Saccharomyces cerevisiae S288C: one gene and its partner. Changing the gene in region 1 together with any one later gene gives a genetic interaction. Each region holds a gene or a part of one and is shown in the gene's direction. Other genes may lie near its edges.

The links. Genes that interact genetically often act in the same process or in processes that back each other up.
Region 2: mutations in COX10 (region 1) and SRP101 together harm fitness more than expected from each alone (negative genetic interaction), as found in Saccharomyces cerevisiae (2 studies listed by BioGRID).

The regions. Positions count from the first base shown.
Region 1 is NC_001148.4:223,853-227,265, reverse strand, and holds COX10 (protoheme IX farnesyltransferase), read left to right. Parts: upstream 1-1,524; coding exon 1,525-2,913; downstream 2,914-3,413. Other genes in the region: OYE3 (NADPH dehydrogenase), read left to right, coding at 1-1,097; mitochondrial 54S ribosomal protein uL24m MRPL40, read right to left, coding at 3,230-3,413. UniProt on the Saccharomyces cerevisiae protein: Catalyzes the first reaction in the biosynthesis of heme A, a prosthetic group of mitochondrial cytochrome c oxidase (CcO).
Region 2 is NC_001136.10:1,042,646-1,046,787, reverse strand, and holds SRP101 (signal recognition particle receptor subunit alpha), read left to right. Parts: upstream 1-1,776; coding exon 1,777-3,642; downstream 3,643-4,142. Other genes in the region: mRNA-binding translational repressor SSD1, read left to right, coding at 1-1,148; HRQ1 (ATP-dependent 3'-5' DNA helicase), read right to left, coding at 3,827-4,142. UniProt on the Saccharomyces cerevisiae protein: Component of the SRP (signal recognition particle) receptor (SR). Ensures, in conjunction with the signal recognition particle, the correct targeting of the nascent secretory proteins to the endoplasmic reticulum membrane system.

The DNA.
Region 1 (3,413 bases):
CATTGACCAGAATGAGGGCCACTCACCCCGGAAATATTCCAAATAAGGAGTGGGCTGCTGTGTATTATGGTCAGCGTGCTCAAAGACCTGGTACCATGATCATCACGGAAGGTACGTTTATTTCCCCTCAAGCCGGCGGCTATGACAACGCCCCTGGGATTTGGTCTGATGAGCAGGTCGCTGAGTGGAAGAATATCTTTTTAGCCATCCATGATTGTCAGTCGTTCGCGTGGGTACAACTTTGGTCTTTAGGCTGGGCATCCTTCCCAGACGTATTGGCAAGAGACGGGTTACGCTATGACTGTGCATCTGACAGAGTGTATATGAATGCTACGTTACAAGAAAAGGCCAAAGATGCGAATAATCTCGAACATAGTTTGACTAAAGACGACATTAAACAGTATATCAAGGATTACATCCATGCGGCTAAGAATTCTATCGCGGCTGGCGCCGATGGTGTAGAAATTCATAGCGCCAATGGGTACTTGTTGAATCAGTTCTTGGATCCACATTCTAATAAGAGGACCGACGAATACGGCGGAACGATCGAAAACAGGGCCCGCTTTACACTGGAGGTTGTCGATGCTCTTATCGAAACTATCGGTCCTGAACGGGTGGGTTTGAGGTTGTCGCCGTACGGCACTTTTAACAGTATGTCTGGGGGTGCTGAACCAGGTATTATCGCTCAATATTCGTATGTTTTGGGTGAATTAGAGAAGAGGGCAAAGGCTGGTAAGCGTTTGGCCTTTGTGCACCTCGTTGAACCACGTGTCACGGACCCATCGTTGGTGGAGGGCGAAGGAGAATATTCCGAGGGTACTAACGATTTTGCCTACTCTATATGGAAGGGTCCAATCATCAGAGCTGGTAATTACGCTCTTCATCCAGAAGTGGTTAGAGAACAAGTAAAGGATCCCAGAACCTTGATAGGCTATGGTAGATTCTTCATCTCTAACCCAGATTTAGTCTACCGTTTAGAAGAGGGCCTGCCATTGAACAAGTATGACAGAAGTACCTTCTACACCATGTCCGCGGAAGGTTATACCGACTACCCAACATATGAAGAGGCAGTAGATTTAGGTTGGAACAAGAACTGAAATCATGAATAAAGACATTGATGTTATGTATTTTTCATATTCCTGCCATATTTTTAATTACAAAACTCACATATAGATATTTATATTTGATACATCAATAATTATAACTTAAGGAAATAAAGATAGTTTTTGTCTTCACTTTTTAAAGTATTTTAAACATCATCCAAGCCAAAAAGACTCGATCTTTGTTTATATAGGGCAGCTTTCTCGTGCCCGCGCGCTGTTCAAAGGGAATAATAAAATGACTTTTTTATGCTTGCAAGCCCATTGACGTAAATCCACCGCAAGTGAGATTAATCAAAGAAGAAAATTCTTGATATCTGCAATAGACGTGATTCGGGCGTGATTAATATTCCTCATAGCGGGGTCTTTTTATTTTAGGCCTATAGTATCTCTTTTTTTCGATTTCTCCTTTTTTCCTCTTTAGATGAGTTACTTTCCTCGAACATATGCTCACTTGATGAGAAATGTTCTTGCTCATAATAAAGGGAATATATACTTACAAATTGGTACACAGCTGCACGATACTCAAATAAAAATTCGATTTAATGGAGTTCGTTATATTAGTCGGAATCATGGCGGGAAACAGCAACATATAAACACTGCGCCGATAGAATTTACTCCCAATTTTGGATATGGTGATAGAACCTCTAATTGCAATAAAAAGGTTGAATCGACTGCCATGAAAACGCTAAGATGCACAGATGATATATCAACTTCAAGTGGAAGCGAAGCTACTACCGATGCAAGCACACAACTTCCATTTAATGTCAAACTTGTAGACCCGATGGTAAGAAAATCTAAGAGACCATCTCACGCAATCAGCGAAGGGCTGAATATGAAAACTTTAAAGAAGAAGGTAATTATGCCATATCTTCAGTTGACCAAGCCCCGACTCACCATTCTAGTGATGTTAAGTGCCATTTGTTCGTATGCTTTATCTCCATATCCAGCCTCCGTCAATGAATTGTTATGTTTAACAGTAGGCACTACTTTGTGTTCCGGTTCTGCAAACGCTATAAATATGGGCAGAGAGCCAGAATTTGATAGACAAATGGTGAGAACTCAGGCGAGGCCCGTTGTTAGAGGTGATGTTACACCTACCCAGGCATTCGAGTTTGCCGCACTTATCGGAACATTAGGAGTATCTATCTTGTACTTTGGTGTTAATCCTACCGTTGCTATTCTTGGTGCTTCAAATATCGCGTTATATGGCTGGGCCTATACGTCTATGAAAAGAAAGCATATCATTAACACATGGTTAGGTGCCCTAGTAGGAATGGTACCTCCTCTAATGGGATGGGCAGCCGCAAGTCCGCTTTCACATCCGGGATCTTGGTGCCTTGCTGGTCTATTGTTTGCTTGGCAATTCCCACACTTTAATACGTTGAGTCATAACATTAGAAATGAATACAAAAATGCCGGATACGTTATGACTGCATGGAAAAATCCGCTCCTAAACGCCCGTGTGTCGTTGAGATACTCTATCCTAATGTTCCCTTTATGTTTCGGATTGTCTTATTTTAATATCACAGATTGGTACTACCAAATAGATTCCGGACTTATAAATGCCTGGCTAACGTTCTGGGCTTTCAAATTCTATTGGCAACAAAGAATCAACTATTCTGCAAAAACATTAAAAGATAACGTCAAGTTTAATAAAGGTCTAAGTGTAGCCAACATTTATGCAAGGAAAACTTTTATGGCTAGTGTATTGCACCTACCGGCAATTCTAATCCTAGCCATTATACATAAAAAAGGCCGCTGGGATTGGATATATCCTGGTGAAGCAAAGCGACCACAGGAACGATTTTAGCATTAGTACAATGAGATAAAGAGACAACGCTTAAAGGGCAGTCATTAATCTTGTAAATAAATATTTAAACCCTTTTATTGGTTAAAAATAATGTACATACGCACATAATTTATTTTTAAAGAAAAGATTTTGTAATTTGAAGTCATCACGTTTGCCCACATCAATATCTGAATATTCTTTGAACTTTACTTTATGCTTTCATATATACAGGTCGAATATAACTTATTTACTACGTGAATAGTGAAGGGGATATACTGATTAAAAAAATCACACTAGAGAATCAAATATAAAAATAGAGTGCATACACTTGGTACATTTATTCTCTTTTTTGTTTTTCCAAAAATTCAAAAACCCTCGCCCCAATAGCTTCCATGTCCTCTTCAGTTAGTTTTGGTACTTCTCTCTCAGCCAACTCCTTTTTTTCTGCCAAATGGCTTTTTCTTACCTCTGTTAGGGGCATCTCAGGTGCTACTAGCTTAGCTATATCTTTCGCTGTCAAG
Region 2 (4,142 bases), on another chromosome or scaffold:
TTGACTTGAACATCCTGGATAGAACTTTAGGCTTTGTTGTAATTAATGAGATTAAAAGAAAGGTCAACTCCACTGTTGCAGAGAAAATTTACACCAAACTTGGTGATCTAGCTCTTTTGAGAAGGCAGATGCAACCCATTGCAACCAAGATGGCGTCATTTAGAAAGAAAATTCAAAATTTTGGTTACAATTTTGATACCAATACGGCGGATGAATTAATCAAAGGGGTGCTAAAAATTAAAGATGACGATGTTAGAGTCGGAATTGAAATTTTACTGTTTAAAACCATGCCAAGAGCTAGATACTTTATTGCTGGCAAAGTAGACCCGGACCAATATGGGCATTATGCCTTGAACCTACCTATCTACACACATTTCACAGCGCCAATGAGAAGATACGCTGATCATGTCGTTCATAGGCAATTAAAGGCCGTTATCCACGATACTCCATACACCGAAGATATGGAAGCTTTGAAGATTACCTCCGAATATTGTAATTTTAAAAAGGACTGTGCTTATCAAGCACAGGAACAAGCAATTCATCTATTGTTGTGTAAAACAATCAACGACATGGGAAATACTACAGGACAATTATTAACAATGGCTACTGTCTTACAAGTTTACGAGTCCTCCTTTGATGTATTTATTCCAGAATTTGGTATTGAAAAGAGAGTTCATGGAGATCAACTACCTTTGATCAAAGCTGAGTTTGATGGTACCAATCGTGTCTTGGAATTGCATTGGCAGCCCGGCGTAGATAGTGCAACTTTTATACCAGCAGATGAAAAAAATCCAAAATCCTATAGAAATTCCATTAAGAACAAATTCAGATCCACAGCCGCTGAGATTGCGAATATTGAACTAGATAAAGAAGCGGAATCTGAACCATTGATCAGCGATCCATTGAGTAAGGAACTCAGCGATTTGCATCTAACAGTACCAAATTTAAGGCTACCATCTGCAAGCGACAACAAGCAAAATGCTTTAGAAAAATTCATTTCTACTACTGAAACCAGAATTGAAAATGATAACTATATACAAGAAATACATGAATTGCAAAAGATTCCTATTCTATTGAGAGCTGAGGTGGGGATGGCTTTGCCATGTTTAACCGTCCGTGCATTAAATCCATTCATGAAGAGGGTATAATCTCTTCTACCAATATCGTCATTGCTGTTTTTCTTGTTTTTCACTTTCGTTCTTTGGATTGTGCTTCACCCCTCAGTATCCCTTCCCTTTGTTTTTATTTCCTGCGAACATTAACAACTGCATGAATTTTGTACTTCTCCTTTTAATCCACGTTCCGGTAAGGCATCATCCAAATTTTTTTATTCGACCTCGTTAAGTCATATATTTTTTCCCAAAAATACATAAAACAATAATGCAGCCTTCTTTTCAATATTTACAACTTTTCAATTTATATTGTCTTTTGTTATTTATACTCTTATATATTAAATTTATTCCGTTACTAAATACCCTTTTGCTGTACAAATATCATCAAAGAGAAGTACTGAAAGCTTACTTTTTATGCGCTGGGTAATTTTTCCGGAAACAATAACGAAATCATCGTCGAGCAATTTTGCTCGTACTTCAGAAACTACTGCGTAAACATTTGAGGTCGTACAATAAGTAGATAGAAATAAATAAACCAATTTTTCGTCAGCGTTTAATCTGTAGCCAAAGATTTGTGGTATTCTCACAGTTTGAATAATATTCAGCTACTTCATCAAGTAGTTTTTTTCAATAGGAGATTCACGGTTCAATAAGTGCATTGATTATGTTCGACCAATTAGCAGTCTTTACCCCTCAAGGTCAAGTACTTTACCAATATAACTGTTTAGGAAAAAAGTTTTCTGAAATACAAATTAACAGCTTTATATCCCAGCTGATTACTTCCCCAGTAACTAGAAAAGAAAGTGTTGCAAACGCAAATACAGACGGATTTGATTTCAATCTTTTAACAATCAACAGCGAACACAAAAATTCTCCTTCATTTAATGCACTATTTTATTTGAATAAGCAACCAGAATTGTATTTCGTAGTGACTTTTGCCGAGCAGACTTTAGAGCTTAATCAAGAAACTCAACAAACACTTGCACTGGTGTTAAAACTCTGGAACTCATTGCATTTAAGTGAATCCATTCTAAAAAATCGTCAGGGCCAAAACGAAAAGAACAAGCATAACTACGTCGATATTCTTCAGGGAATTGAAGACGACCTGAAGAAATTTGAGCAATATTTTAGGATAAAATATGAAGAGTCAATAAAACAAGACCATATCAATCCAGATAATTTTACCAAAAATGGATCAGTACCCCAATCGCATAATAAAAATACCAAGAAAAAATTGAGGGATACAAAAGGTAAGAAGCAATCTACAGGAAATGTTGGTAGTGGGAGAAAGTGGGGCCGTGATGGTGGCATGCTTGATGAAATGAATCATGAAGATGCAGCCAAATTAGATTTCTCATCATCCAACAGCCACAATAGTAGCCAAGTAGCTCTAGACTCCACTATTAATAAAGATTCTTTTGGGGATAGAACAGAAGGAGGCGATTTCTTAATCAAAGAAATTGATGATCTTTTGTCTTCTCATAAAGACGAGATAACTAGTGGGAACGAAGCTAAAAATTCTGGATACGTCAGTACAGCTTTTGGATTCCTTCAAAAACACGTTCTAGGTAACAAAACGATCAATGAAAGTGATTTGAAATCTGTATTAGAGAAGTTAACACAACAATTGATAACCAAAAATGTAGCACCAGAGGCAGCAGACTATTTAACACAGCAAGTCTCACATGATCTTGTAGGCTCAAAAACTGCAAATTGGACCAGTGTTGAGAATACTGCTCGTGAATCTTTAACAAAAGCATTAACTCAAATATTAACGCCTGGTGTATCCGTTGATCTCCTCCGTGAAATTCAGAGCAAAAGAAGCAAAAAGGATGAAGAAGGTAAATGTGATCCCTATGTGTTCTCTATAGTTGGTGTTAATGGTGTTGGTAAGTCAACAAATCTTTCAAAGCTAGCGTTTTGGTTACTGCAAAATAATTTCAAGGTCTTAATTGTTGCTTGTGATACGTTTAGGTCTGGTGCAGTTGAGCAACTAAGGGTCCATGTTGAAAATTTGGCACAGCTAATGGATGATTCACACGTTCGTGGCTCCAAGAACAAAAGGGGTAAAACTGGTAATGACTACGTTGAACTATTTGAAGCTGGTTATGGTGGATCTGACTTGGTAACCAAAATTGCAAAGCAAGCCATCAAATATTCTCGTGATCAAAACTTCGATATAGTGTTAATGGATACTGCCGGGAGAAGGCATAATGATCCTACTTTAATGTCGCCATTGAAGTCTTTCGCTGACCAAGCCAAGCCAGATAAAATCATTATGGTTGGAGAGGCTTTAGTAGGTACTGATTCTGTCCAGCAAGCCAAAAATTTTAATGATGCCTTCGGAAAGGGAAGAAATCTTGACTTCTTTATTATCTCCAAGTGTGACACAGTTGGTGAAATGCTGGGTACTATGGTAAATATGGTTTATGCTACGGGGATTCCTATCTTATTCGTTGGCGTGGGACAAACCTATACCGATTTGAGGACATTAAGCGTAAAATGGGCTGTTAATACATTAATGTCTTAAAAACTGTAATATCATAGTATATATATATATACCACAGACAATGTTATTCAACAATAATAAAGTGTCTTTTTTTCTGTGCATCAACAAGGTGACAGAATGTTGATGTAACTTCTTTCCACCAAGTGAATCTACAAGTAGTAGAATAGAGTATTTATATTCGGTTTACAAACTACAAATAGCGTGCTCATATCTCTTTTTTAATGATTTCATTTGTATGAGTATCGTCTTTCGTAGCTCTTCTAACGTCAATAATCTTAAAATCATCTGAAAAGTTGACATGCTCTGACACAGGAATAACAGTCTCTACTTTTATCTCTGGCATATTTGGCTCTGGACCATCTTTGATAAGATCTATAAAACTATCTTCCGAGTGACCTAGAATACAATGCAAAACGACTTGGGCGCCAGGTTTCGACAGGACCAGGCTGTTTTCCTTACAAAAAGAAGCCGCTACACAGTCAGGACATCCATCGCTGCATGGGCATTCTTCTATTCTTCTT